Ovis aries: one gene and its partners. The protein of the gene in region 2 purifies or fractionates together with the protein of the main gene of each other region. This does not show direct contact. Links are inferred from orthologs where the notes say so. Each region holds a gene or a part of one and is shown on either strand. Other genes may lie near its edges.

What was found.
Region 1: the proteins of FBXW7 (region 2) and MED12 purify together in Homo sapiens (affinity purification with mass spectrometry; 3 studies listed by BioGRID and IntAct, with this or other methods). This does not show direct contact. The link is inferred for Ovis aries from reciprocal best matches to the Homo sapiens genes FBXW7 and MED12.
Region 3: the proteins of FBXW7 (region 2) and FMR1 purify together in Homo sapiens (affinity purification with mass spectrometry, with the first as the bait; 3 studies listed by BioGRID). This does not show direct contact. The link is inferred for Ovis aries from reciprocal best matches to the Homo sapiens genes FBXW7 and FMR1.
Region 4: the proteins of FBXW7 (region 2) and SNX8 purify together in Homo sapiens (affinity purification with mass spectrometry; 3 studies listed by BioGRID and IntAct, counting the BioPlex papers as one, with this or other methods). This does not show direct contact. The link is inferred for Ovis aries from reciprocal best matches to the Homo sapiens genes FBXW7 and SNX8.
Region 5: the proteins of FBXW7 (region 2) and ENO1 purify together in Homo sapiens (affinity purification with western blotting; 3 studies listed by BioGRID, with this or other methods). This does not show direct contact. The link is inferred for Ovis aries from reciprocal best matches to the Homo sapiens genes FBXW7 and ENO1.
Region 6: the proteins of FBXW7 (region 2) and MED13 purify together in Homo sapiens (affinity purification with mass spectrometry; 5 studies listed by BioGRID and IntAct, with this or other methods). This does not show direct contact. The link is inferred for Ovis aries from reciprocal best matches to the Homo sapiens genes FBXW7 and MED13.
Region 7: the proteins of FBXW7 (region 2) and RBM28 purify together in Homo sapiens (affinity purification with mass spectrometry, with the first as the bait; 3 studies listed by BioGRID). This does not show direct contact. The link is inferred for Ovis aries from reciprocal best matches to the Homo sapiens genes FBXW7 and RBM28.

Annotation. Positions count from the first base shown.
Region 1 is NC_056080.1:63,829,041-63,833,655, forward strand, and holds the start of MED12 (mediator of RNA polymerase II transcription subunit 12), read left to right. Parts: upstream 1-1,764; 5' UTR 1,765-1,995; coding exon 1,996-2,094; intron 2,095-2,623; coding exon 2,624-2,728; intron 2,729-2,935; coding exon 2,936-3,127; intron 3,128-3,263; coding exon 3,264-3,420; intron 3,421-4,588; coding exon 4,589-4,615. UniProt on the Homo sapiens protein: Component of the Mediator complex, a coactivator involved in the regulated transcription of nearly all RNA polymerase II-dependent genes.
Region 2 is NC_056070.1:5,524,470-5,528,303, forward strand, and holds part of FBXW7 (F-box/WD repeat-containing protein 7), read left to right. Parts: intron 1-1,744; coding exon 1,745-1,970; intron 1,971-3,771; coding exon 3,772-3,834. UniProt on the Homo sapiens protein: Substrate recognition component of a SCF (SKP1-CUL1-F-box protein) E3 ubiquitin-protein ligase complex which mediates the ubiquitination and subsequent proteasomal degradation of target proteins.
Region 3 is NC_056080.1:87,701,016-87,704,849, forward strand, and holds part of FMR1 (fragile X messenger ribonucleoprotein 1), read right to left. Parts: intron 3,218-3,834; coding exon 3,135-3,217; intron 855-3,134; coding exon of another isoform or gene 840-854; exon of another isoform or gene 595-839; coding exon 433-594; 3' UTR 1-432.
Region 4 is NC_056077.1:41,309,819-41,314,245, forward strand, and holds the start of SNX8 (sorting nexin-8), read left to right. Parts: upstream 1-1,615; 5' UTR 1,616-1,617; coding exon 1,618-1,711; intron 1,712-4,427. UniProt on the Homo sapiens protein: May be involved in several stages of intracellular trafficking. May play a role in intracellular protein transport from early endosomes to the trans-Golgi network.
Region 5 is NC_056065.1:43,928,853-43,932,686, reverse strand, and holds part of ENO1 (alpha-enolase), read right to left. Parts: intron 3,802-3,834; coding exon 3,743-3,801; intron 2,150-3,742; coding exon 2,080-2,149; intron 1,621-2,079; coding exon 1,487-1,620; intron 1,102-1,486; coding exon 879-1,101; intron 1-878. UniProt on the Homo sapiens protein: Glycolytic enzyme the catalyzes the conversion of 2-phosphoglycerate to phosphoenolpyruvate. In addition to glycolysis, involved in various processes such as growth control, hypoxia tolerance and allergic responses.
Region 6 is NC_056064.1:10,801,669-10,805,502, reverse strand, and holds part of MED13 (mediator of RNA polymerase II transcription subunit 13), read right to left. Parts: coding exon 3,632-3,834; intron 1-3,631. UniProt on the Homo sapiens protein: Component of the Mediator complex, a coactivator involved in the regulated transcription of nearly all RNA polymerase II-dependent genes.
Region 7 is NC_056057.1:94,238,526-94,243,099, reverse strand, and holds the start of RBM28 (RNA-binding protein 28), read left to right. Parts: upstream 1-1,686; 5' UTR 1,687-1,797; coding exon 1,798-1,915; intron 1,916-4,574. UniProt on the Homo sapiens protein: Nucleolar component of the spliceosomal ribonucleoprotein complexes.

The DNA of each region.
Region 1 (4,615 bases), on a different chromosome or scaffold from region 2:
TAATCTCAAATGTTACTCAGTAGCCTAGTCTCAATTGTTACTCAGTAGCCTAGTCTCAATTGTTACTCAGTAGCCATATAACACAGGGCAAGTGAACTTCCACTCTGAAAATCAGCTTCCTCGGCCACAAAATGGATACAATAATATCCCTAACTCATTGTTTTTTTGGAGGGGCGTGAGGGGGGTTGGATTAGAGACAATGTCTGAAAAGCATCTGACACTTAGTAGGTGCCTCTCCATAGAGCAAGGATTCTTAACCTGAAGTTCATGGACCCTTAGAGGATATGTGAATAAACTTCAGGAGAGGGCCTAAGAATCTCCCTACAAAGTATCTAATCTGTATCAGTTCAGTTCCCTTCAGCTCCCAGTCTGGACTCTTGGTGAACCCATGAACCACAGCATGCCAGGCCTCACTGTCCATCACCAACTCCTGGAGTTTACCCAAACTCATGTCCATTGAGTTGGTGATGCCATCCAACCATCTCATCCTCTGTCATCCCCTTCTACTCCTACCCTCAACCCTTCCCAGCATCAGGGTCTTTTCAAATGAGTCAGTTCTTCCCATCAGGTGGCCAAAGTATTGGAGTTTCAGCTTCACCATCAGTCCTTCCGATGAACACCCAGGACTGATCTCCTTTAGGATGGACTGGTTGGATCTCCTTGCAGTCCAAGGGACTCTCAAGAATCTTCTCCAACACCATAGTTCAAAAGCATCAGTTCTTCAGGGCTCAGCTTTCTTTATAGTCCAACTCTCACATCCATACATGACTACTGGAAAAATCATAGCCTTGACTAGACCCTTGTTGACAAAGTAATGTCTCTGCTTTTTAATATGCTGTCTAGGTTGGTCATAACTTTCCTTCCAAGGAGTAAGCGTCTCTTAATTTCATAGCTGCAATCACCATCTGCAGTGATTTTGGAGCCCCCCAAAATAGTCAGCCGCTGCTTCCACTGTTTCTCCATCTATTTGCCATGAAGTGATGGGACCAGATGCCATGATCTTCGTTTTCTGAATGTTGAGCTTTAAGCCAACTTTTTCACTCTTCTCTTTCACTTTCATCAAGAAGCTCTTTAGTTCTTCACTTTCTGCCATAAGGGTGGTGTCATCTGCATTATCTGAAGTTACTGGTATTTCTCCCGGCAATCTTGACTCCAGCTTGTGCTTCTTCCAGCCCAGCGTTTCTCATGATGTACTCTGCATATAAGTTAAATAAGCAGGGTGACAATATACAGCCTTGACATACTCCTTTTCTTAGAAAGTATCTATTTTGTATATCTCTATGCACATTTTTTTTTCTGGGAAGAAGGGCCTTAGCTTCCATCAGCATATTAAAGGGATTGTGAAACACAAGCGGTTAAGAACCTCAGTGATGTACCATAAAGACCTTGAGGGATTAGAGCCGACCTTTCAGGATTTAACACGTGCTTTCTCATGCATATGTAGTTTCTAATCTTCGCAACAGTCCCTTAAAGGAGGTGTTAGTAGTATACCTATTTTTCAGATGCAAAAACGAAGAAGCGGTTGAAAAAGGCAAGAGTTCCTACAGACGATCTAGCCCTTATTCGAGGCCGAGAACTGAGAGAGGCTCAGAGAACCCAGTTCCAGTAGGAGCTCATCGCCTCGGCCGCCTCCCACCTCGCAGGTTCGTATCCCCAGCGCAGCACACGACTGGCGGTCGCTGCAGGAATCTTGACTGAGTGAAATCCACCTCCCGTGGCGGGCGCCGAAAAGCTCCGGGGGCGCGGAGCTCCGCCCCACGCCGGGCTGGGCCCGCCCCTGCCGCGGTCGGTATTGTCAGACGGTTCCCGGCGTCCCTCGGTTTCCCTCGGTAGTTTCCGGCAAAGATCGGGAGTTTCTAACGTGCCCCTTGTAGTCTCTCGGCTGCCGTCCTCGCCACCGCCGCCCCTCTTTTCGGCTCCCTCTCCCCTACCCACCCCCCCCCCCCCCCCCGCGATCGGCCCGGCTGGCGCCTCTGTCGTTACGGGCTGAGCAAGATGGCGGCCTTCGGGATCTTGAGCTACGAACACCGGCCCCTGAAGCGGCCGCGGCTGGGGCCTCCTGATGTGTACCCTCAAGATCCCAAACAGAAGGAGGTGAGTTCAGAAATTCGGGCTCCCAGGGGGCCAGGGGCCAGCGATCGGCAGAGGAGGAAGCACTGATGGCTGGGGGAAGCGGGGGCGGGGCGGCTCTGTGGGAGTGCAAGTCCCGAAAGGGGGAAGAGTAAAGTGGACTGGTATCGGAGAGTAAGACCTGGGGGAGGTGGGGGCTGGTTTCTGGGCTAGAACCGGGAGTGATGTTGGGGCCACGCTGGAGGCGCCCCCTCTACACACACACACACCTCAGAAAGTTGTCTGAGGCGGCTGGATGAACTAAGGCTGCTTGTAAACTCGCAGGGGAAGAGTGCTGTTGAGGGAGCTCTGGGGATTGGGAATCTTATTACTGTGGGGGTGAGGGGGTCCAAATTAATATAAGAGATTATTTTAAAATAATAATGTGCTATCTACTCCCCAATCATTTTCCTATTTTTTTCCACCCTTGTTCCCTTCTCTTCTGCCCTCTTCCACCACCACCACCATCTCCCCCAAGGAAGGAAAAAGCTAAAATGTTGTTTTCCTGCCTCAGGATGAATTAACGGCCTTGAATGTAAAACAAGGTTTCAATAACCAGCCCGCTGTCTCTGGGGATGAACATGGCACTGCCAAGAATGTCAACTTTAATCCTGCCAAGGTGAGACAACCCCATCAGGCTGAAGGAAAAGGCTGGAAGAATCTGAGAGGGAGCAAAGACCCTGGGCTGGGAAGACGTAAAGGGATGACCTAACTGGCGGTGTTTTCCTTTGTAACCTAATGCTACCACACTGGCATTTGCCCATCAAAGGCACAGCCACCTTTCTGCTCTGTCTTCCCACCCTGAGGTGTAGCTTTCTTCCCTCAGATCAGTTCCAACTTCAGCAGCATCATTGCAGAGAAGTTACGTTGTAACACCCTCCCTGACATTGGTAGAAGGAAGCCCCAAGTGAACCAGAAGGACAACTTCTGGCTGGTGACTGCACGATCCCAGAGTGCCATTAATACTTGGTTTACTGATCTGGCTGGCACCAAGCCACTCACACAACTAGCCAAAAAGGTGAGGTACTGTTTCCTGTTCTTTAGACCAAAGGGGGGAACGTGAGTACCAAGTACCCTCTGATTTTCAGATTGAAGTACACGGGTGTCAGCTCACTGGGGTGAGAGAGGTCTCACTGTTTGCAATGTCCATTCAGGTCCCCATTTTCAGTAAGAAGGAAGAAGTGTTTGGGTATTTAGCCAAATACACAGTGCCTGTGATGCGGGCTGCCTGGCTCATTAAGATGACCTGTGCCTACTATGCAGCAATCTCAGAGACCAAGGTTAAGAAGAGACATATTGACCCCTTCACAGGTGAGTAACTCCTAATACCAGAGGACGTACCACTGATCACTTCAAAGAGTGGTGGAGAAACCTTGAAATTACTCTCCTTCCTCATCTATATTCCTTGCTTCTGCTTGTATCTTGCATTCACTCAGTTAGTAAACATCAAGTGTCTTGAGTATCTACTGTATGTGTGCTGCTGCTGCTGCTAAGTGGCTTCAGTTGTGTCCGACTCTGTGCGACCCCATAGACGGTAGCCCACCAGGCTCCGCCATCCCTGGGATTCTCCAGGCAAGAACACTGGAGTGGGTACTGGGCTATAAAGATAATCACTACCTAGTCCCTGCTCTTAGGATGCTTATAGTCTAGTAGGGATGCTAAGGCCACTGTACAAATCCCATAATTAAATATAGAAACATAGTGTCAAAAGTGGAGGCAGGGGCTTCCTTGGTGGCTCAGTGGTAAAGAATCCACCTGCCAGTGCAGGAGACATGGGTTTGATCCCTGATCTGGAAAGATCCCACATGCCTCAGAGCAGCTAAGTCTGTGAGCCACAACTATTGAGCCTGGGCTCTGGAGCCCATGTGCCCCAACTACTGAAGCCTACACACCCTAGAGCCCGTGCTCTACAAGAGAAGCCACTGCAGTGAGAAGCCTGTACTCCACAACTAGAGACTAGCCCCACTTACCACAACTAGAGAGCTTGCGTGCAGCAATGAAGACCCAGAGCAGCCAAAAATAAATAAATAATATTATGTAATATAAAAAAGTGGAGGCAGAAGTTTCTTTGAGACTTCAGTGAACAGAAAGGTTATTTTCTTTTGGGGATACCTGGAAAGGCTTTAGGAAGGTGACATTTGTTTTTGTTTTGTTTTGTTTTGTTTTATTTTGTTGAAGTATAGTTGATTTATACTGTTGTGTTAGTTTCTCGTGTACACCAAAGTGATTCAGTTATACATATGTGTGTTTATCTATATTCTTTTTTGCATTCTTTTCCGTTATAGCTTATTATAGAATATCGAATGTAGTTCCCTGTGCTATGCAGTAGGACCTTGTTGTTGAAGGTGGCATTTGACTAGAGCCTATATGGGGATGAATAGGATTTAGAAACATGGTGACTGGGAGTGGGGGTGGGGGACAGAAGGTGTTCTAAGCAGAGGGACACTGTAAAATAGCCATCTTCCCATCTTTTTTCTAGAATGGACTCAGATCATCACCAAGTGCT
Region 2 (3,834 bases):
CTTCCACTTTGAAACGCCTCGTTCTGTGATCTTGACGGATACCTTAGACTTCATTGTCCTAAATCTTTGATGACTCATCATGTTAAAAAAAATATTTGAGGTAGGAGGATATATTTTTGGTGGGAGGACAAATTCAGTTATTCAGGCTTCAAGCCTCTGAGTCTCTCTAGTTACCCACCCAGCACCCTTCCCCTCTCCATTGTCTCCCCTGTGTCCAGGCAAAAGCTGAGCGAGGTTTTAACTCATTGCCATTACCTGTCACCTGAACTGGTGACTGAGCTTTCATATTTGGTCACCTTGCACACAGCTGGCAGAGAACCTCCTCTGATTATGGTAGGACCACGAGCCTTTGGGAGCCTTCTGTTGCACCCTGAGTTAAGGAAGAAATCCAGTTTTCAGAATAGTTTCAGCCAATGCTAGCCTTTTTCTTCTCAGTATCTTTGCTGTTGCTTTTATTTCCTGCTACAGAGCCCTCCTATTAAAAGTCCTTTTTGTTTTCCAGTGGCGTGTCTTCATGGTACTCCTGTTAAACAGATGTGATTTCTTACCTATTTTGTCAGAAAAAGTCTCTCTGAAGCGTCCTTACAGTGAATCCACTCCAGTTTTTACTGTTCATTCTGTCCATGGCATTCTTTATTAAGAACCATTTCATTAGACATATTTCACTCAAGATTTGTAATACATCAAGAAAAGTACCTTTTTCACTTGTGACTTGAATCTGCTTTGAACAGTGTGCTCTACTGTTAAAACTGGGGGAGTTAGTATCAAGAGACCTTGCAATTCAGTTTTCAGTATGTTCTGACTTAAATGTCTCAATGCTTCCATTTTCTACTCTTCCAAACATGGAAAGTGGTCTTTCTTTATCTCTTAGGAATAACATTAAAGACACCTGAGTTTTCAGCTCTCCTTTGTAATCCAAAGGTGATTACAGTATTTGTATCACTCTTGTTTATGGAAGAGTATCACTTTAATAATCTTGGGTCAAAATTTTAAGGGATTTCTGTTGCCTCTACATGTGTATCTTCTAAAAATCTCTATATCTTAATGCCCTCGTAGCCTATTGAATATTTTAAAATATAAGCACAAGCAACCTTTGTTTGAGGACCTATTTAAAACTGGTTATTTTAACCAGAGTACATGATATAAAGCACATATCTTTAGCAGTTTAAATTCCAAATTCTGGCTTGTTTCGTTGAGACACTTCTATTGAATTTTCTCCCTAGTCATAAAGGTAATGTGTGTTCATATTAAAATTTTGGGAAATGGCAGAAAGAATAAGGAAAAAATTGAACTTTTTCAAAATATCAATGTTACTACCTATTAACATTTTATACACACTATGCACACGGGCATCTTATTTCTAAAATCAAGATCTTGTATGTATTTTGAGTTTGCCATGTGTTCTACTAATTTTTTATCTTTATCTTCCTCTGCTTCATCTTCATTGTATCTAGCTATAATACAGTAGTTTTCAAACCGCAGGACGCCAAGGTGCTCCTGGGTCCCTCATAGGTGGGGGAACCAAACAGGCAGAATCTAAGGCTTTCCAACTTCCCGTCCCAAGCAAAGTAACTCAACTTTCATGTGTTCATATAGCACATGAGGTTTGACATAGCATGTATTTATTTTGAAAACAGGTGGTTTCTGCTTAAGAAAAAGAAAAGTTTTAATGGCCACTGACTTTTTATGTATTGTTTTCCCATGATTTTAAGCTCTCATACATTTTTTCCTGTTACACCCGCAGAGTCGTTAGCGGTTCTCGAGATGCCACGCTTAGGGTTTGGGACATTGAGACAGGCCAGTGTTTACACGTGCTGATGGGTCATGTAGCAGCAGTCCGCTGCGTTCAGTATGATGGCAGGAGGGTTGTGAGCGGAGCGTATGACTTCATGGTGAAGGTGTGGGACCCAGAGACAGAGACCTGTCTGCATACGCTGCAGGGCCACACCAACAGGGTCTACTCACTGCAGGTAAGAGGCTGCGCGCGCTCGCTCCTGTGGCGCTCTTGTAACCAGTCATAATACTGTCTTAGTCCATAATCACTTCAGACTGCTGATCCAGTACAGTCCAAAACAGATGAATTATTCTGCTGTTTACATTTACTTTAAAATTGGCACGAAGAAAGCATACATGTTGAAATTATTTAAATGATTTGTTTCCATTTTTCTGTGAGTCATCTTCCTCTAAAATATAAATATTGGTCTTGGAACCTGAGATTTTGGGGCTCTAAATTTTCCTGTTAATGGGGAGATAGTCTCATAGGAAAATAGCCTGGATTTTAATAAACTCCTTAGCACAGGATTAATTTGGCCAGAAGCTGCCCCGTTGCCTTGATAGCTGGAAGTTGACGGACCATGTAATTGTGATTCTGCCCCCATTCAAAGTGGAAGTGGAGCTTTGGGCACAAAGCTGCTCTGCTGCCACAGGGCTGCTGGGTTGTGGTCATAAAGAAGGAAATTTGTCTTAAACATTTTTGGTTTGTTTTTGTTTGAACCTGATATCCTAGAATAGATTGCCATATTTTGACATAAATAACTAGATTATTAGCAGGTTTAAAAAATAGGTCTTGTTTTGTTTCCTGAAAGACATTAAAAAATACAGTTGACTCTTGAACAGTGTAGAGACACTACCCTCCACCACCACTCCAGTCAAAAATCCTTGCATAACTTGGCCCTCAGTGTCTGCAGTTCCACATCCAAGAGTTCAGCCAACCTGGGACTGTGTAGTAACATAGTAGGTATTGAGCGAAAGAAATTTTTAAGTGTAGTGGACTCTCCCAGTTCAAACCCATGTTGTGCAAGGGTCAGCTGTATTTGCTATTAGTAATACTTACATAGCTTGTTTACCAATTACTGCCCACTAGTGATCAGCAAATTAGTACATGGTCCTAGGGCTCACAGTTCTGTCCTTGGAGTATTTGTTTCTTCATGGGATTCTGTCTATGTCATGAAATATTGACATAAAATAAAGATGGCTGTTAACTTAGAAAAGGTTATTAATTTGGAGGAGAGGGAATTGGCTGCAGTTGTCTGTATGTTTTGTGATGTGTTCAGAACCTTAATGAATATAACAGCCTCATTTAAATAAACCCCTTAGATTGAGAAAATAGGTAGGAACTTTAAATCGATCTGGGAATTGGTAGATGTTTGTTGACTTCTGGTCTAGCTGGGAAGCTGGAGAAGAGTACCATAGATAGTTTGCTTTGGTTATCAAAATGCCACCACTTCTAATTCTAGATTAATTATCTGTTGGCACAGTTCCTACCTAGCATTAGGTTCCTGTAAGTGAAATTTTTATTTTACATACAGTTTAATGGAACTTACTTTGAAGTATCATGAGAGTTATCTCTAGCTCTTTCCGTGCCGTAGATGTTGATAAGCACACCTTGTATCATAAACCACATCAGTAGTTTCACCTTCCCGTTGGGAAGTAAAACTCCAATGGTAGTCCATATCGAATCATTCATAATATGTAGCTCCTAAGTGTGGCCAGATGGTCTGACAATAATACGTTCATTGTGCTTTTTTAAAAATTGTTTCTGCATCTAGTTTGAGGCCACTGGTCATGAAAAAATTCGCGTTTCTGATAGAAGCTTCTGAGAACATGCACTGGGGAGTCGTTCGGTTGCATGCAGCTTACCCTGGTACCTCATTTTGTTCCTGGCATTATCTGTTTCTCATGCTTTGCTCCCCTCCCTTTTTAGGATTAAGGTCAATAGATAATAATCAAGAATACCCACACTTCTAGTCTAATAAACTGTGTCTGTTGTAGTTTGATGGCATCCATGTGGTGAGTGGATCCCTTGATACGTCAATCCGTGTTTGGGATGTGGAG
Region 3 (3,834 bases), on a different chromosome or scaffold from region 2:
TAGTATTTTATGGACTTCTATATGAGATTGAAAATAGAAGTCTAATATGATTACCATAAATGCTATTATTCAGAAAAACTGAAATATACCAGTGAGTTATCACCCAATGCAGGGTAAACGGTCCAAATTAACAAAGAATATCAACTGCGCGGTATTTAAAAAGTAAACCAAATGAAAATCCTGTCCTGAAGTGCTAAGTATACTTAATTATTTAAAAGTAATGTTTCAAAAATTTTAAGACCTCATTGTGTGCAAATTTGAAAATTGCTGCTTATGGCCAATGTGAAAAAAGCAAAATTCTTAACGGAATTGTTCATTTCATGCCCTGTGCCACCTTGCCTACTATTTGTCTTTGGCCTAACAAAGTTTTCTAATATGGAATAAGAATTATGGAAATGGTATAGGGGATATATCACTCCAGAATTATGCAGTTTAGGGTACTCCATTAACAAGTGGTTGCTGGCCATCCACGGTGTCTGGCTTTTCCTTCCTCTGGTTACGATCTTTACCCGTGCGCAGCCGATTACCTTCACTGGAGGTATTCTGTAATGTTTTAGTGTGGACACTCCTTTCATTATTGCAGTCAACTCTGATCTAAAACAAGTTATAGTTGTTATATACACAGACCATATTCTGTTGTAATCTGCAATTGGCCTGACAAGAAATTTAAGCCCAAAGTGTATATTCCACATGTTAAAAGGGATTTGAATAGAAGAAGTGTGAGAAATTAAGGTCAGGTAGGAGCTTTATTTGGTTTATGATTCTAAAACACTCTTCTTCTGTAACTGGAACACCTTGGTCATCTCACTGCATCCAAAGTTAGATAAAAACTCACAATCCTACTGTGTCTTCTTCTAAGTAGAACAAAACAATGAGAAACAAATAGTTAAAATGAACTCCTATTACGGATTGCAAAATATATATGCAAAATATACAGGTCTGTTCAAAAAAATGGTTTATTCTTCAAAGATATGAAACCCAGGAGGAGAGAGACAAATTATTGTCTTCCTATTCTGACGTTACCAGAGCAATAACTTAACTCACTTATTAACTAGTCTTTAGTTGACATCTTCATTTCTATCGTAAGTATGATTAACTTTTTCTACACTGAGGGCTCCCTTTGTCTTACAACATGTGTGTGTATATAAATATACACACATACTGTATATATTCATATATATGTATATATACACACACTATATATACTCATATGAGCACTGGTTTCTAGTAGCTTATATTACCGTAAGGAAAATCAGAGATCATACAACTTAAACTCTGAAGAATAAGAATAGTACAGGGAAATTTGAAGACACTAATGCGTGGGAGAACTGGAATCCCAGGAAGAGAATAGAGATGGATATGATTTAAAAAATAATATTCTGAGATTTATATAATATTTTAAGTGCCAGCACTGAACACTTAACACTGCTAATGCAATTGTAGATGCTGTACAAAAGAAAGATAATGTTGACACACAGGCCTAAAACAATTAATGAAAGTACTGATATGCTTCAAGTACAAATGGGACTACCTATAGTCCCAAAATGGTGCACTCGAATTTCAAAGTGTGTTTAATTGTTGGTCCTGGGTGAGTGTTTTAACTGTTTGGTTGTCAACAGGGGAAATATGAAACTGGTACATAAACGCCTTATAATTTCATCAATCTCTAGGTCTAAGATATTTTCTGTGATGATCCTTAAGCACCAGCTAATAGTTAACACCTACTTATAAATGCTAGGACTTCCCTAGTGGCTCAGACGGTAAAGCATCTGTCTACAATGCCAGAGACCTAGGTTCGATCCCTGGGTTGGAAGATTCCCTGGAGAAGGAAATGGCAACCCACTCCAGTACTTCTTGCCTTGAAAATCCCATGGACGGAGGAGCTTGGTGCAGGCTACTATTCATGGGGTCGCAAAGAGTCAGGCACACCTGAGCGACTTCGTTTTCTTTCTTTCTTTCTACAAATGCTATGAATTCTAAGGAATATTCTGTCATGAAGTTTCTGCTCTTAAAATTTATGTCTCACTAATTCTAGGTACTGGTCCCAAACCAATCCATAGTCATGAAGGGACCCCCAACTACTTGGATTAAGTCTTCAGAGTTAAAGAAGCAGCCGAAGAGATCATGCGTTCTGGGAATGAGGTACCAGGGTTCAAATATTACTCTGCTGCTGCTGCTAAGTTGCTTCAGTCGTGTCTGACTCTGTGCAACCCCATAGGCGGCAGCCCACCAGGCTCCGCCATCCCTGGGATTCTCCAGGCAAGAACACTGGAGTGGGTTGCCATTTCCTTCTCCAATGCATGAAAGTGAAAAGTGAAAGTGAAGTCGCTCAGTCATGTCCGACTCTTAGCGACACTATGGACTGCAGCCTACCAGGCTCCTCCGTCCATGGGATTTTCCAGGCAAGAGTACCGGAGTGGGGTGCCATTGCCTTCTCTGAAATATCACTCTAGTGTATGCTAACTATGTGACTCAGTCTTTCTAAACTTCAGTTTACTCACCTATAAAACAGAATAATAGAACTTCTTACCTCAGGGTACTGTTGAAACATTAAGTGAGATACAATACACCCAGCCAAGATACCTGGCTGTGCTTGGGGGCTCATTTTAAAATTATGTTAACAATGTGTTCAGCACAGGTGCTGGCCACATGAGATGCGTTCTCAGGGTAGAGGTTGGCTCTAAATAGGCAGCTGACTGATTCAGCATGTACTAGCCAAGTGTCATCAGCCCTGTCTATTGTGAGCTAGATACCTTCTTTTTCTTACTTTCCAGTCAAAGAGGACACCCTATCCTTGCAACTCTGGTGAGAAGGGATGTGGGTTCCTCAGGGCTTATACAAGTCTCTCTCAGTACATTCCTGGATGTTTCTTTCCTTGGAGAATGGGGGTAGGGAGGATTACCTATGTGGTACTTAAGTCATAATGTGGTTGTCGAAATCTTTACAAATACTGAGACTGCACATTCTTTAGATACATCTTCTTTGTATACTTGTCATAAAGGACTAAAATTGACCACAAATGTAATGTTGAAAGGAAAGTATTTCACAAATACCTATATAGTATGGCAAATTCACCTAAATCTCAAACTTATGTAACTGGGACAATTTGGATGAAAAGAGGCACATAGGTTTACCTGGAGGGATCCATCTGCTGTTCTTCCTTTAGCCTCTCTTGGATTACGTGGACGATTATCTGTTCGGGAGTGATCGTCGTTTCCTATAGGGACATTTTTAAAAGGTTCAGTGGTCACTGATTCTGACATGCCTATTGTAGAGTTCTTTGTTCCCACATCCTCAATTTATTTAGACCAACCACAGAATCTAAAATATAATCAACCTAGCAATTTCAGTTACACACTGTCTAATAATCTAGCATCCAGGTGGCACTAGTGGCAAAGAACCTGCCTGCCAATGCAAGGGACATGAGACCTGAGTTCGATCACTGTGTCCGGAAGATCCCCTGGATAAGGAAATGGCTACCCACTCTAGTACTCTTGCCTGGAGAATCCCATGGACAGAGGAGCCTGGTGGGCTACAGTCCACAGGGCTACAAAGAGCTGGACATGACTAAAGCGGCTTAGTGCACAGAAGCACATGTTACAAAAAACATTCCTAAGCCATCACAGTTCTACATCAACTGTGTGATAGGTCAATCTGAACTAATGATTAGATGTGATGTTTAGAGTACCCAAAGAAGCTGAACTAGTTATCAGGGGTTATTCATATGTTTGTAAACTGTAAGGAAGCCTGTCTGATATTGCTAATTAATTACGTGAGCCTTTCTTATGGTGACCAGTACAAAATGGAAGAAATGGGGGCTTGATAGTATGTCAT
Region 4 (4,427 bases), on a different chromosome or scaffold from region 2:
AATAAATTCAATATGCTGTTATCTGTGCGGCTTCCCAGGGGGCACTAGTGGTAAAGAACCCATCTGCCAATGCAGGAGATGCAAGAGATGTGGGTTCGACCCCTAGGTTGGAAGATCCCCTGGAGGAGGGCACGGTGCCCCACTCCAGTATTCTTGCCTGGAGAATCCCACGGACAGAGGAGCTTGTCAGGCTGCAGTCCATAGGTTCGCAGAGTCGGACACGACTGAAGCGACTTAGCACGCATGCATGCTGTTATTCTCGTGTAATGTCTAACTTTATGCTTGTTTAGTGCCTCACAGTTTTCAAGGTGCAGTGAGTGTTTAAGCATTGAATAAGGATCTTTTGGAGGGACACAGATATGTAGCAAATACTTCCAGGAAGTTAGAGAGATGGAGAGAGAGAGAGGGAGCGGGAGACAATGACAATGTGTGTGTGTGCGCGCCCTCGGGAGGGGAGAAAGTGCTGAGCACATCACTCGATGCAAAACCAGCTTAAAGGAAGCCTGCGGTGGCGGAAGGAGACAGTATCCCGCTGAGACTTGGGAAAGCTTCTCCATGCTGGTCTCTGGGAGAGGCACACCACTTCCTCAGTTGTGCTGGGGGACAGCATCCTTGTTGGTTGGCTCACAAAGATGTCCGGTGACTGTAGCAAAGAGAACTAGCTCCCTGGGGAGGGGATTCCTTCCTAGGACCCTGACTGGGGCTCTGGGCTCTTGATTGCTGTTACTGGCTCCCTGGGCGTTAACAGTTGTCCCGGTATTAGCAGGTCCACGGTCCTTACCTTGGGAACAAGGCCCTCCCTAACGGAGCCCCACCAGTCGCTCCAGCTTCCTCTTCGGCCTCCGCTTTTAGCTCCAGGAAGACCACAGCGTTCGCAGCTGTGCGATGCCTCGGGGCCCGTGGGCACCCGCTCCTTCCTCCCGCCGAATTCCTCATTCCTCCAGCCCCAGCTGAGGCTCTCCGCATCCCGGGATCCCTTAACCCGGCCAGGGCCGGGGGAGCGCTCTTGCGCGGCGCTCCCACAGTCTTGTTCTGGAAGTCGGGGCACCCGCTCCACTGCGTCCTCCAGATAGGGGAGGGTAGCAAATGCACAGGCCCGCCTGGCCTCCAGGGGGCAGTCCGGGGACTTGAGTGAGCGAGGGAACGACTGAATGACCAGGTGGCTAAGGGAGCGGGTGGGCGAGTCGCTGAACGAACGAGCGGATGGACCAGCGGGCGGACGACCGAGGAAGTGGGCGGGCGAGCGGACCAGAAGGTGAGAGAATAAATGGATGAGTGAGTGAGTGGGGGCCTGAGGGAAGGCAGCTGGGGGCTGACTGGGCGGGCGAGGGAGCGGCGGACGCTGGACGCTGACCGCGCGCCTGGGCCGCGCCACCTGCCCTCCGCGTGGCAGCCGAGCCGGGGCGGGGCGGGAAGAGGCGGAGAAGTGGGCGTGGCGACGTCGGGAGTGGGCGTGGCGGACCCGGGGCGTGGGCGTGGCGAGGCCGAGAGCGGGCGGGGCAGGCCCGGGGCGGGCGGGGATAGGCCGGGAGTGGGCGTGGCCAACCCTGGGCGTGGGCGGGGCGAGGCCGGGCCCAGGCCGGCGGGCGCGGAGGAAGTCACGTGGCGAGCGCTCACATGACCGGCGGCGCGATGGACCGGCTGCCCACCGCGCCCGGAGCTGCAGCTGCTGAGGCAGAGGCGGACGAGGAGGCGGACCCGCCAGCGGCAGGTATGGCAGGCGCCGCCCCCAGGCCCCGCGCGGCTCCGGCCCGCGCCCGCTGAGGCCCTGCGGCCTGCGGCTCGCTTCCTGGCCCCGGACTCCCCGCGCCTGCTGGGTCCTCCCCTCTCACGGCCCCTCCCGGTCCACGCCCAGGAGGGCGCGTGGCTCCGCGGCTCAGAACCCCAGCACCTGTCCGGGTTTGCGCCTCTCCGCGCGCTTCTGCCTGCGTCTCCCCGGGACTGTCCGGGCCCCTCGGGGCCGCAGGACCCGCCCGCCCTGCGCTTCCTGCGTGCCCATCTGCCCTCCGCGTGTCCCTGGACTTGCCGGGCCTTGGCACATACTGCGGCGGCTCAGGACTTGAGCGTTTCTTCGGCCAGCCCGCCGTGTTTCTCCGTAAGTGCTTTTCTTAGTGGGTGAGCGTGAACGCTGAGAAGCACGCGGGAGGCTTGGCTTTTCTCGGATGGTACCCCCTCTAGCCTTCCAACTGGAGGATACATGTGGGTGTGAGTTATTGCAGCTTCTTGGTGGTGGCGGCGGCACAAGTTGGAAACTCCGTTTGGAGGGTCTGGAAGGTGTCCCTGAGAAGCTCATGCTTAAAGTGAGCCCTGAAGGGCTGTAAGACGGTTGATTCCTTAGGGAGAAAAGGAGATGGGAGTGGAGTGAAGTTGCTGGGGGCTGCGGTGGGGGTGGACAGTGCTCTGGGTTGGCCTGAGTGCCCTGAAGACCCTGGGTGAATCTGCCTTTAGACACCAGACCCGCCGCTCCCCACCCTTGGCCTTCATTTCACTTGTAGCTTTGTAAGGGGTAGCGTGTGACGGCTTCCGCTCACGGTTAGAACGTTGTGTTCAGGAGGTCACACGTTTGAGCCCAGCGTGGGCCGGTCAGCCAGCCTGTTTCAGGTGCCCACACTGGACTCCTTGTCCAGGTCACTTTTGGAAACATGAGGCGTTTGAGCAGGAACGCTTCTTCCCCTGGGGATGTAAAGCAGTTCGGAGTTGCTGGATGTGGTGGTCGTTCTGGCCTCTCTTTGCAGGTGCAAGGACAGCCTGAATGTTTCCTGCAGGACTCACCCACTGGCCGCCATCATGGAGTCAGCCAGCCCCGCTGTCTGAGACTGGCAGCTGGCCTTGTTAGGGGCTGTGGTGATTTTGTTAACATTAGGCGTCCAGTTGAGGGAGGTGGCATGGTAGAGGAAAAACACAACACCAACCAAAAAAAGCACTTAAAAAAAAAAAAACAAAACTGGGAAAGCTAAAACCCAGAGGTAAGTGGCCTGCCCACAGTGGGCAGTATTAAGAGGGTATGTTGTGGTGGGGATGGTGGTTAGATGGGGTGCAATCAGAAAATACGTCTTTGAGAGTGAATTTTATCCAAACACGATATTCACTAGGGAGGAAAGGAGATGGGAGTGGAATGAAGTTGCTGGGAGCCGGGTGGGGGTGGACAGTGCTCCGGATTGGCCTGAGTGCCTTTAGACACCAGACCCGCCGCTCCCCACCCTTGGCCTTAATTTTTCCTTTCACTTGCAGCTTTGTAAGGGGTAGCGTGTGACGGCTCATGCTCATGGTTAGAACGTTGTGTTCAGGAGGTCACACGTTTGAGCCCAGCGTGGGCTGGTCAGCCAGCCTGTTTCAGGTGCCTTTGCTCAAGCAAAGGTTGATTTTGACTGTTGAAGAAGCTGTGGCTTGTGGAATTCCATCTTCGCTGGTGTTCTGCCCACACAGCCGTAGCTCACTATTAGTATTAGCTGTGGGGACCATGGGGGTCTAGGTTTTTGTAGTGCCTTTGGGATTGTCGGAAAAAACGATGTTCACTGTGGTTTTCAGGCTTAATGTTTAAAAAAAATTTTTTTTAAGTTAATTTTTTTTTGGCTGCCCTGGGTCTTTGTTGCTGAGAGAGGGCTTGCTCTAGTTGCGTGGAACAGGGGCTGCTCCTCCTTGCCGTGCGTCGGCCTCTCCTTGTGGTGGCTTCTCGCACGGTGGAGCACAGGCTCTGGGCACGGAGGCTTCAGCCGTTGCAGCAGGCTGGCTCGGTGGCTGGGGCACACGGACTCCAGTTGCCCCACAGCATGCGGAGTCCCCCCAAACCAGGGATCCAGCCTGTGTTCCCTGCATTGGCAGGCAGATTCTTATCCCCTGTACTACCAGGGGAGCCCCAAGAATCATAGCATATTCTAATCCCTGGAAGCTTAAGCGGGGAGTGTTAACTCCCTTCCTAAAAATTTAACTTTCAATTTTACAATATGTAGATAATCGCATTTCCCTTACCAAAAAAAAAAAAGCAAACACCACTGAGAACAGTGTAGATTGGCACTCACCCCCCTCTTACCAGCCTGGGATGGACCCTCTCATGCTGTTCCTGTGTTTACACTCGTGTGCTCAGACAGTGCATGCCTCCTCGCGCCTCCGCGCGTGTGTTTCCCTACGGTCGTATATTGGTTTTCTGCTGCTGCTGTAACAAAAATGGCCCCACACAAAGTGGCTTAACCAGCAGAAAGTTCTCATTTTACAGTCCAGGAGGTCTGTAGCCAGAACAGGTTTTCCTGAGCTAAAATCTGGCTGTGGGCAGGGCTACGTTCCATCCTGAGGCCCTGGGGGAGAAGCCGTGTCTTGGTCTTTCCCGCCTCCCAGATGCCTTCCGCATGATAACCCCTTGCTCCAGCTGCCCCAGGCTGCGCCGGCCTGTCCTGTCCTGTCTCTGACTCCTACTTCTGTCCACTTCTTCC
Region 5 (3,834 bases), on a different chromosome or scaffold from region 2:
CTTTAAATAGAGCCAAGACAGAGAATAAGATGGTTAGACAGCATCACCGACTAAATGGACATGAATCTGAGCAAACTCCAGGAGAGGGTGAAGAACGTTCGGAACCCTGGCATGCTGTAGTCCATGGGATCAGAAAGAGTCAAGACACGATTTAAGTGACTGAACGACAAGGCTGCGATCCAAAAGGGAGCCCAGTGGACTGACAGGGAGCCCCACGCTGAGGCTCTGCTGTCCGGGTCCAGGCTCAGGGTCGGCCTCACTCAGAAGCACTGCCTGTAGGGATACGGACCAAGACACTGGCTACTGTTGCACAGCAAAGGCGCCCGAATTCAAACCACATGAGATGGCTGAGTTTTCATAAGTTAAAACAGTCGAATGTCAGCTACTGTGTATGATGGACCCAAAGGTCAGGATGGACATTTCCTTTCACTAACCATCCCTGAAGCCCATGAAATATGCTTGCAACCCTAACTTTTTCTTCTAAAACAAAAAATTTAGCCATGAATTCTTCTCCTAAGACTTCTGTATCCTCTCTTCAACTCTCAATCTAAGGATTCAAAGTGAAACAAAGCATGTACGGCATTACTGCGGCTGAATGACCTGAAACCTCAGCATGCCAGTATCCTTAAACAGGGAGCAGGCCGCACACTTTTGCCATCGCTTAGGAGCAAGGATGGTATAAGCAAATCATCCAGCCATTTAGAAGTCAAATTAATAAGAAAACTTCTCTTTCTTTTTTAAAGGAAGTGCTAGTTTCTTAAATCACAAAGGGTTTTTCAATTTGGTACTTGAATGGCAGGTGGAAAAGCAGCAGACCAGGGGTGGGGGTGGGAGGGGTGCTGCGGTGCCCAGGGTTGGGGCTCCCCTGGAGCTGCTACCTTCTTTGTTCTCCAGGATGTTGGGGGCAAAGCCGCCCTCATCTCCCACATTGGTGGCGTCCTTCCCGTATTTCTCCTTGATGACGTTCTTCAGGTTGTGGTAAACCTCTGCTCCGATGCGCATGGCCTCCCGGAAGTTTTCGGCCCCAACAGGAAGGATCATAAACTCCTGCATGGCCAGCTTGTTGCCAGCATGAGAGCCACCGTTGATGACATTGAAAGCCTGTGGGGAGAGAGAGGAGTATAGCTCCCGGCCCGGAGGGTCTCTCTGCCCCCAGCAGCCCCCAATGCCCAGCTCCTGCATGGAGCCCATGCCATCACTGCAATGCAGCCACCGCCACAGGTGCACATAATCCAACAAGGCAAGTGCAGAGTCCCTCTCCCATCGACAACTAAGGAGATGGGTGCAGGGCAGCTGGGCCACCGCTCAAGGTCGCTGTCAGCCGGCGCTGGCAGAGCTGTCTGCAGCCGAGACCCCCAGAGCCCCCTTGTACCCTTGTGCTGGAGGGTCACATATGGATGAACTGGAGAGGCGGGAGCTCTTGGGTCCCCATGAGAAAGCAAACACTCCCTCCTCCACACACGGGAAGCTCAAAGCAATTACTCACTGGAACTGGCAGGATGACCTCGGCATTGCCAGCCAAGTCGGCGATGTGGCGGTAGAGGGGTACCCCCTTCTCCACAGCACCAGCCTTGCAGACAGCCAGGGACACGCCCAGGATGGCGTTTGCACCAAACTTGGCTGGAACAGAACAGAGTTAAATGAAGGTATATCTTACCCACCAGCCTTCCTCTAGCTGGCATTCCTGCCTGGACCACCACTGTGTGAGCCCTGGATTGTATTCCGAACCTCTTCATCTCTATCACACCAGAAATGCAACAGCCTCCTTCCCACATACACTCATCTGCTCTTCACCGAAAGAGAAAGCCCGTTCTTTGGTCTATGGAACTCTAGAAAGTTCTGCAAATTGCTACACTATCTAAAGCACAGGCCTCTTCTGAGTAACCCTCAACACCTGCTGCTGTCAGCTGGCTGTACTCCTGATATTCAAAGATGTAATTTATGAACATGAGGCAAGGACCACAGCTATCTGGTCACATAACTCATCGTTAGGGACGACATGACCTCTCCCCAAGGGACTTCAAGAGTCTTTAGGAGAAGCTATGGCCATCCTGCAAAGGTTCCCTTTGGGCCACTCACACTTATTTTCTGTGCCGTCCATCTCTATCATCAGCTTGTCGATCTTCTCCTGCTCCACGACGTTCAGCTTCTGCAGGGAGAAAGGAGGGTGAGCTGCCTGGACGGAATGGTGCTTCTACCCGCATGCCCTGGGCCCTCCTGTCACAGAGCCACCAGCAAAGCCCAGGTCAGTTCTGTGCTTATCCACGTCAGGAGCAAACAGGGAGACACAATACTGCCCATCACAGGCTTTAAGAGCATCAGGTGCTTCTCCCAGCACTGTGACTTTGGGGGCCGTAGAACAACAGAACTCATTCTTTATTTGAAGAGCCGTGCTCATCAAAGTCAGCTTCTGCCGTCACTCAGCGGTCCTCAGTGAGGATGTCTGAGTATCTGATGGGAGATACAAGTTTTGTAGGTAGTCCACAAGGCCAAAAAAAAAAAAAACAACTTTATTTATTTAATGTTTTAGGCCAGGTTGTGTGTGGCATGTGGGACCTTAGTTCTCTGACCAGGGATCAAACCTAGGCCCCCTGCATTGGGAGTGTGGAATGTCAGAGAAGTCCCCAAAATGTCTGATAACTGACCAAAATGAATACTTTTGGTGAGAGTATCAAGTAACCAAATTGGCATCTTAAAAACTGGCTCAAAGTAATGAAATAAAAGTCAACATTACTTTAAAAACTTCACAACAGCAAATTATTTATCATCTTTCTTATTAAAAAACTAAAATACAAAAAGAAAACAAAAATCTCTTAAGTCCATCAAACCCTGTTAACACTTTGGCATCTTTTAACTTTTGTGTCAAGGCAACTTTGGGTAAAGTTAGACGTCACCCCAGCAGTTGGCTCAAGGACAACACCCACCAGGAGTAACCAATAAAAGAAAATGTCCAAGAAAGTTAGCTGTGCCAGCTGAGGGTACCGAGGCACAATGAAGAACAGGGGTGCGTGGAGGGGGCTGGGAGGCTGGAATGGCACAGCAGTGATGGAAACTCTGCCTGGGGACCAATCACAGAGGGCCACATGGGCCGGCCACAGCAGGCAAGCTGGGAATAGAGCCAGCAGAGGTGCCACTTGCTATGGGCACTCAGAGTGGAGCTGGGAGAGGGATCACGCCAGGGAGGACACATGAGGCCAGGCTAGGCCATAGGAATCTGGGAGGGAGGGGCTGGAGAGAGGATACAAGAGACAAAAAAATAGCTGCGCAGGTTGGGCTGTGAGATCCTCAGCCTCACTTCCTCTACAACAACTCTACTTATATCTGTTTGCCATATTGAGGCTCCAAATAGGATTTTATTTAACAAGAGTTCTGCTGTTTAAACATATAGTAAGTAATTCCACAGCTCATGAAAAATGAGTCAGTCACCACAGGTACTACATTCAACACCCCTGGGAGCCACCCTTAAAATCTGATCTTAACTCCCAAGAGGTCAAGATCATTGCTGGGGAACATCAAGGCTCTTGGAGCCTCCTGACCCTCAGATCCAGTTCCATGCTCTGTTAGACATGGCCACGCAGGCAGAGGGCGGGTCAGCAAAGGCCAAAATTCGCATGCAGGGAAGCCCACCGGCTTCTTTAGCTCTCAGAATAAGCTCTTCTGTAAACAGGGAAGCCCCCCGGCCTGGACTGGGCGGCGCTCTGATAGCATTAATATACATTAGTCATCAGGAGGCAGGTCCTACCTTGCTAACCAGGGCAGGCGCAATAGTTTTATTGATGTGCTCAACAGCCTTTGAGACACCTAGAAGGAATAATCAAATCAAATTACCGACGC
Region 6 (3,834 bases), on a different chromosome or scaffold from region 2:
CAGCGATTTTGGAGCCCAAGAAAATAGTCTGTCACTGTTTCCCCATCTATTTGCCATGAAGTGATGGGACCGAATGCCATGATCTTCATTTTTTGAATGTTGAGTTTTAAGCCAGCAAACTCCTCTATCACCTTCATCAAGAGGCTCTTTAGTTCCTCTTCACTTTCTGCCATAAGGGTGGTGTCATCTGCTTATCTGAGATTATTGATATTTCTCTCAGCAATCTTGATTTCAGCTTGTGTTTCATCCAGCCTGGGATTTTGCATGATGTACTACTCTGCATATATTTGTTTCTGCTTTATTGACTATGCCAAAGCCTTTGACTGTGTGGATCACAACAAACTGTAGAAAATTCTGAAAGAGATGGGAATACCAGACCACCTGTCCTGCCTCTTGAGAAACCTATATGTAGGTCAGGAAGCAACAGTGAGAACTGGACATGGAACAACAGACTGGATTCAAATAGGAAAAGGAGTACGTCAAGGCTGTATATTGTCACCCCGCTTATTTAACTTATATGCAGAGTACAGCATGAGAAACGCTGGGCTGGAGGAAGCACAGGCTGGAATCAAGATTGCCGGGAGAAATAATACCTCAGATATGCAGATGACAACACCTTTGTGGTAGAAAGTGAAGAAGTAAAGAGCTTCTTGATGAAGGTGAAGAGGAGAGTGAAAAAGTTGGCTTAAAGCTCAACATTCACAAAATGAAGATCATGGCATCTGGTCCCATCACTTCATGGCAAATAGATGGGAAACAGTGGAAACAGTGGCTGACTTTATTTTGGGGGGCCCCAAAACCACTGCAGATGGTGACTGCAGCCATGAAATTAAAAGACGCTTGCTCCTTGGAAGCAAAGTTATGACCAACCTAGACAGCATATTGAAAAGCAGAGACATTACTTTGCCAACAAAGGTCTATCTAGTCAAGGCTATGGTTTTTCCAGTGGTCATGTATGGATGTGAGAGTTGGACTATAAAGAAAGCTGAGCACCGAAGAATTGATGCTTTTGAACTGTGGTGCTTTTGAACTTGAGAGTCCCTTGGACTGCAAGGAGATCCAATCAGTCCATCCTAAAGGAAATCAGTCCTGAACATTCATTGGAAGGACTGATGCTGAAGCTGAAACTCCAATACTTTGGCCACCTGATGCGAAGAGCTGACTCACTGGAAAAGACCCTGATGCTGGGAAAGATTGAGGGCAGGAGGAGAAGGCGACGACAGAGGATGAGATGGTCGGATGGCATCACCAACTCAATGGATATGGGTTTGGGTGAACTCTGGGGGTTGGTGATGGACAGGGAGGCCTGGCATGGTGCAGTTCATGGGGTCGCAAAGAGTCAGACATGACTGAGCAATTGAACTGAACTCTGCATATAAGTTAAATAAGCAGGGTTACAATATACAGCCTTGATGTACTCCTTTCCCAATTTGGAACCAGTCTGTTGTTCCATGTCCAACTCTAAACTGTTGCTTCTTGACTTGAACACAGGTTTCTCTGGAGGCAGGTAAGGTGGTCTGGTATTCCCATCTCTTGAAGAATTTTCCAGTTTGTTGTGATCCACACAGTCAAAGGCTTTAGCGTAGTCAATCAAGCAGATGTTTTTCTGGAATTCTCTTGCTTTTTATATGATCCTGCAGATGTTGGTAATTTGATCTCTGGTTCCTCTGCCTTTTCTAAATCCAGCTTGTACATCTGGAAGTTCTCAGTTCACGTACTGTTGAAGCCTAGCTTAAAGGATTTTGAGCATTATCGTGCATTTTCTATTGCTTGGCAAATACGTGCTTTTTTCTTTTTTTGAGGTATAATTGACATAATATTAGTTTCAGGTGTACAAAATGATGATGCATATGTATTGCAAAATGATCACCACAGTAAGTCCAGCTAACATCCACCAACAAATACTGTTATAAATTCTATTTTCTTGTGAAGAGACCTTTCATCACAAGAAGATGAGTTGGTTCTTAAAAACAAATAATAAAACAGAATACCACTAATGCTACTCTTATTACTACTACTGTTACTACTGCAAGTATCTGAATTCTTATTTTGTGCCAGGCACTCTGTTTTATATGGTCTCTGTTTATTTGTATTAGCTCATTTGATTCTCTCAACATTGTAAGAGGTAAATACTATCACTGACTATTTCCAAAAACTGAGACAGAGATGAAATAATTTGCCCAAGGGCATAAATTATAGTGATGGAGCCACGTTTCAAACCCAAGTAGTCAGTTCCATGGCCTATGTTCTTAATTACTACTTTAAAAATCTATGTATTAAATCTGTATCTATAGATACATTAAATCCACCAGTATACCATACTTCCTTGGTCTTCTTCATACCTCCTTAATTTCCTACCCTGGGCCCTCCTCTTCTTCCCCCTCTCTAAACGTGAGTCCTACCCTTAGACTTCTCTACCTGCAGTCACTCTCCAGGCTGTTCCATGCAGCTCCACAGTCTAAAACACTGACAGGGGCCATGTAGGCGTCACATGCTCAGTCATGTCTGACCCTTTGAGACCCCATGGAGGAAGGGTTGCGACCCCCTAACAGGCTCCACTGTCCATGCCTGGAAAATACCAGAGTGGCTTGCAATTTCCTCCTCCAAGGGATCTTCCCAATCCAGGGACTGAACTCACATCTCTTATGTCTCCTGCACTGTAGGTGGATTCTTTACCCACTGAGCTATCACTGGGAAACCCCAAAACACTACTAATACACACACACAAAATTTTTAAATCTCTAGCCCCAACCACTCCTCTCAATTTAAAACTTGTATTTCCAAATACGCATTTGGGTAAGTAAGGATCGTCTTACTTTTTTGCTCAAAACTGTCCTAGTCATCTTGGAATAAATCATGAAGGCCACAGTTAAACATGGGCCATAAGACTCCACATGACATTGGTGCTACCAGTCCTCCCATCACCCAGCTCATTCCAACAACAGTGCCTCTTTCCTGTTTCTCAAACATTAAGCACACTACTACGGTCTTTGCACCGTCTGAAAACACTTCTCTCGTTTAGCCACACAGCTTACATTCCCCCATTCTATGTAGGTCTTTGCTCAAATGCTGTCCCTCAGTAGTATCTTTTCTAAACATACCTCTAAAGTAACACATTTCTGTCCTGTCTTTTTCCACTTCTTTCCCTGCTTTTCCTTCAAAGCAGTTGTCACTATCTGATACCATATAATACTTTCACTTAAATTTGTTATTTTGAGTCTTATAGGCTCAGAAAGAGTAGGAACTATGCTTGCTTTAATATTGCAGTTTATAAAAGAACAGTCCCTGGCACATACTAGTTGCTCAATAAATATGTAATGAGTGAAAGAATTCTGAACAAAGCAGACAACCAACATTTTTCTGTTAATTAACATGTGCAAAGTACCTTTTATACTCCTACACAAGCACATAATTACAGACTTGTAATAACCATACTTTTGTTGCTGAAATTAAACTAAACTACTCGGAAGTTCTTTCTTTAAAAGTGTCATTCTTGAAGGAGTTTTAAGTGCAAATTTAAGTGTCTCTATTAGCTAAATGGGAAACTGTCTTTATTACCTTTTTCTAAGAAAGAAAAGTCATACAACTGAAACAAAATAGAGAGGAAAAATTACTTCATTAGCATACTTACCATTTCTTTTGGACCAGGGGTGTAAGCATGAACTTCTCACAAGTGCTTCATCAACTTTGCCTCCTGACATGTTATCCATGAACTGACGCCCATGTTCTAATGCAAGGTAGCAGTCATTGCAACAGTCCCGCTCTTCAACACGTACCCAATTGTTAGCTACACCAATTTTGGGAAAGGGATCTTGGTCTGCAGCTCCAAAAGGC
Region 7 (4,574 bases), on a different chromosome or scaffold from region 2:
AGTTGTGAAAGTCGGGAAGAGTACAAAGGGTCAGCTGCACTGTTTTCCTTCTCTAGGGGCATGGAGCTCCTCTGCACTGTGGGTGGCTGCTGCCCTCTGATGGGCACAGGACCACAATTTCTTTGTGTTCTGTAGGGAAGGTCTGGGTCCAAAGCATCTCCAACTTAACACTGTAGAGGGTGTCCCAAAGGGATGCTGGAGCAGCCTTCTCAGGATTCTTTCCCCAGTGCACACTGCAGCCAGGACTGGGAAGGTGTCCCCACAGCTAGGGCCCTGACGCTTGTAACTTAGACTCTGGGTATGAAATGTTTATTTCTAAGGTGGTGAGGGGGCAGGAGAGGAGGAGAAAATAAAGGAGAAATGTGGAGTTCCAAATCAACTTTATTCAAAGTGTTCAGTTTCCTTTGTCTATTTGTCTCTGTTTATCCTGGATGGAATTAACCCATGCCCTTATAAATCTGATTCATATTTCAATACTTCCTCTGCTGAGTTATGTGTTTAAAAGTAACTGTGGCATTTTCTTTTAAGCATAAAATACTTCAAGTTAGGGTTTCATAAATCTAATGTTAAACATTTTCCCTTTCCCCTCATCGCTATCAACCAGTTATCCACCAATCCAAAATGTGTGGAAAGTAGATGGGGTTTGAGGAGAAAGGGAAACCTTTTCACTGTACCTTTTGTACTTTTTGAATGTTCTACCTGCCCTGTGTTCAGGTTATACCGTTTAAAAGTAATTACTAAAAAATCACATTGGGTACTTTTGTTCTGTACAAATATTCTGCAGGGTGCTGCAGTCTTGCACACAGGTCAGTTCCTGAACCCAATGGGGTAGCAAACACTGTCTGTGTTCCAGGATCCAGGAGCACCCAGATCTCCTGGCCAGTGAGATTACACAGCCTTGGGTCCATCTAATAAGCTGACCTGAGGAAAGCTGTCTCTGGGAAGACCTGGGTTCTAGGTCTGTGTAATCTGGATGTATTGCTTGTTCGGGGTGTGTTCTCTTGTGATCTTGCATGGTGCAGGCTTTGGTTTACTTGTAAGTTTTTTTTGTACTGATGTTTGTCTATCTCCACAAGACTATTCTCCATGAAGGCAGGAGCCCTGTCTTTTTTTAGCTCATCAATTTTATCTTTAGTGCCTGGCACATGGTAGGAGCTCAGTAAATATTTTTTGAAAGAATGATTATGTGTGACCTGTGTGCCTATTTGAACCTTAATAGCTATAATTTGTCAGCGAAGTGTTAAAGGCACAGATACAGTTATCTGTTAAAGTGTGACAGATGTCTCATATTCTCTGAGAACTGGAGATTTGTTCGAATGATATATGACTTGTGTTGACTTGCATTATGGCTGTGTTTTATGCATGTAATCTGGGTGTTCCTGGATCCTGGAACACAGGCAGTTTAGAAAATATTTATTAAACATCCACTGTATGTCAGATCCTGTTGACCCAGAGCAAAAACAGCTTCTCTGGCCTGCCCTGCTGAGTTTGGTATCGATCCCCAGCAGGTTAGATTGTAATAAGCCTAGAAACTAAGCCAAGCCAAATTTCCCTACAGAGGCGGGGGCGGTACTTGGGTTAGGGGGTGGAGCCTCGCTCAAGAAGCTCCGCCCTCAGGGGGCACGATTTTTCTTCCTTTCCGGAATGGTTTTTCCCTTTCTACGACGTCTTCCTCCGGACTCTTTTGAGTGACGCGCACTTCCGGAGTCTCACGGCAACTTTAGTAAGCGTGGTCCGCTTACTAAAGCCAGTTAGTTGACTCGCGTGCGCGACCTTGCGTACGCGTTTCTCGGCCTCATGGCCGGACTAACCCTGTTTGTGGGCCGCCTCCCGCCCTCGGCTCGCAGCGAGCAACTGGAGGAACTATTCAGTCAGGTGGGGCCGGTCAAGCAGTGCTTCGTGGTGACTGAAAAAGGTAGGGGGCGGGGCGATCGAGAACAGAGTTGGGGTTCCTGGGAGCCGGATGGAGGCAGAGGACATTCTCCCAGCCTTAAGTGAGCCCTTAAATGAAAGGCCTTGGAAGTTGAATTTTTTTCCAAACGGTCTCTACACTAGATAAATCCATAGGAGCCGTTTCTGAAAGTCAAGTCAGCCCCTTAAGTTTATGTTAAGTCGCTCAGTCGTGTCCGACTCTTTGCGACCCCATGGACTGTAGCCCACCAGGCTCCTGTTTATCATTCGCGCTCACATACAAGATCTGATTTATTAGTGAATAACTTAATAAACGTGATGGACAGAGTGATGGACAGGGAGGCCTGGCGTGCTCCAGTCCATGGGGTTGCAAAGAGTCAGACACGACTGGGCGACTGAACTGAACTGAACTTGGTAAAACACCACTAAGACTTACTGAGAAGCAGCTGATTGCCGGGTACGGTGCTTGAGTTTCATCTGTGCTGCTGCTGCTAAGTCTCTTCAATCGTGTCCGACTCTGTGCGACCCCATGGACTGCAGCCTACCAGGCACCTCTGCCCGTGGGATTTTCCAGGCAAGAGGACTTTCATCTGTAAGCTCCTTTAATTTCCCCATCAGTCTTTTTTTGAGTCGAGAGTAAACTCTATTTTACAGATGAGAAATCTAGGGCTTAGAGAAATTTAGTAACTTCAGCTTAAGTTCGTATTGCTAGTAAGAATTGGATTCAGAATTTGATCACCAGACCCGGAGCTCTTAACCAATATGTTATTCATTCCCCCATTTATGTATTCCGTAAATATTAATTGGATGTTTATACTAGGTTCCAGGCAACTGTTGTAGGTCCTCGGGATACAGTAGTGCACAGACCAAATTCAGAATGTGGAAGATGGGCAATGAGCAAAATACATAGTGACGATGGTGATAGATATTGAGGAGAAACATAAGTCAGGGAAGAAAGAAAGGGAGTCTCTGTAGTGTGTGTGGTGGTGGTGGGGAAGCTGTAGAAGAGTGAAGAATAGACAGGGGAAACCTTACTGATGTGAGAGAGTGAACTTGGGTTTCTCAGTGCGAGGAACAGCCTAGGCAGAGGGAGCTCAAGGATACTGAAGAGGAGTGTGTGTAGTATATTGGAGGAATATAGACGAGACCAGGGTTACTGGAGTGCACTGAGTGAAGGAAAGAGAATTAGCAGATGCCACCTGGTCCTTCCAGATCATGTAGGATCTTACAGGCCATCAAAAGGACTTTGACTTTTACTCTGAGATAGGAAACCACTAATTTTGAGCAGGGAGCCGTGAATATGATCTACCTTGCATTTTGAAAGATTCTCTGAGGCAGCCATGCTGAGAATAGGCCGTTGAGAATAGGACAGGAGCCAGGAGACCAGGTATTAGGCTCTTGTGGTAATCCAGGTGAAAGGTCATGGGGTTGGACCATGTGCTCTAGCAGCGAAGAAGGTAAAACATGATTGGAATATGGATCAGATTTGGGGTCTGAGAAAAAAAGTGTCAAGTCTGACTCCAAGGGTTTTGACTTGAGCCGTGGGAGGTATTTACTGACTTGTGGAATACTGCCATATGCCTCTCATTGTATATGATATTCATGGCATCACTATGAAGGAGGGTTAGCATGTGTTAGAATGAGTAAGAATTGTAAGGATTTTAATTGTAGAAGCATTTCTTCTTCTTACTTAGACTGTATTACATGACACCTGATGTTGCCCAGAACACAAATTTAGCTTCCTTCCAAGTCATCAATCTGTTGCAGTAGGTGGCTGCCTTCTTGCCTTTCAGGCTAGCAACTGGTTTGAAGTAATATCTTGGGTACCCCTCTTTCCCCCCATGGTACCAGAGTGTGTGAGTAGGCAGGCTAACAGTGCGCTAATAATCATGCCATCATTATCTTCTGTTTTCTTAGTAACAGAAATTAGATTTAAGATCATTGACATGGCTCTGATTGCTATACACACAGCTGGGGCCTTTATCATTTTAAGTATAGATACCGGGCAAATGAGAGAATGAGAGTGCTGTACAGCAGTGTTTCTTAAACGGCAGATCATTGTCCATTTGTGGGTCTTGCGTGGCTCATGACTTGAGTTTGTTGTTGTTGTTGTTGTTTTTTTAATGAAATAGGAGTATATCTATATATGGTAAAGGAGAAGTTTTCATAAGACTTTTTTTTTTTTTCAGTATATAAACAACTGGGTCCACTGTAAATTACATTTGTTACTGTGGGTCACCAAACCAGTCTGAGAAACACTGCTCTACAATGGTTGGTTGTATTCCAGGGAAGAGCAGGCCTTTGAATAGGAATTCTCCTTTGGGTCCTGAGAATATAGGCTTCGTGTAACCTTACCTGTAGCTGTGTACATAGTCAGCATCTTTAACAAAAGCTCCTATTCCTTTTAAACAGCAACAATAAAAAACCTGCTTTCCTGTCTAGACAGCCAAATGTATTGAGTACTCCACTTCAAAGGATGGGAGAGAGGGGGTGGCGGATGAGATCTTACCAGTAGTGGTGACTTGAACGTGCCACTTACCCTCTTTAAGATGGGAATAATTTCACAGTATTGTTGTAATTGTTTGTAACAGTGGTGTTTTTGTGAGCACATGCTTTTATTTTGTCAGCGAACTCCTTCACGTTTCAGCTGCTTTTTATTTTTG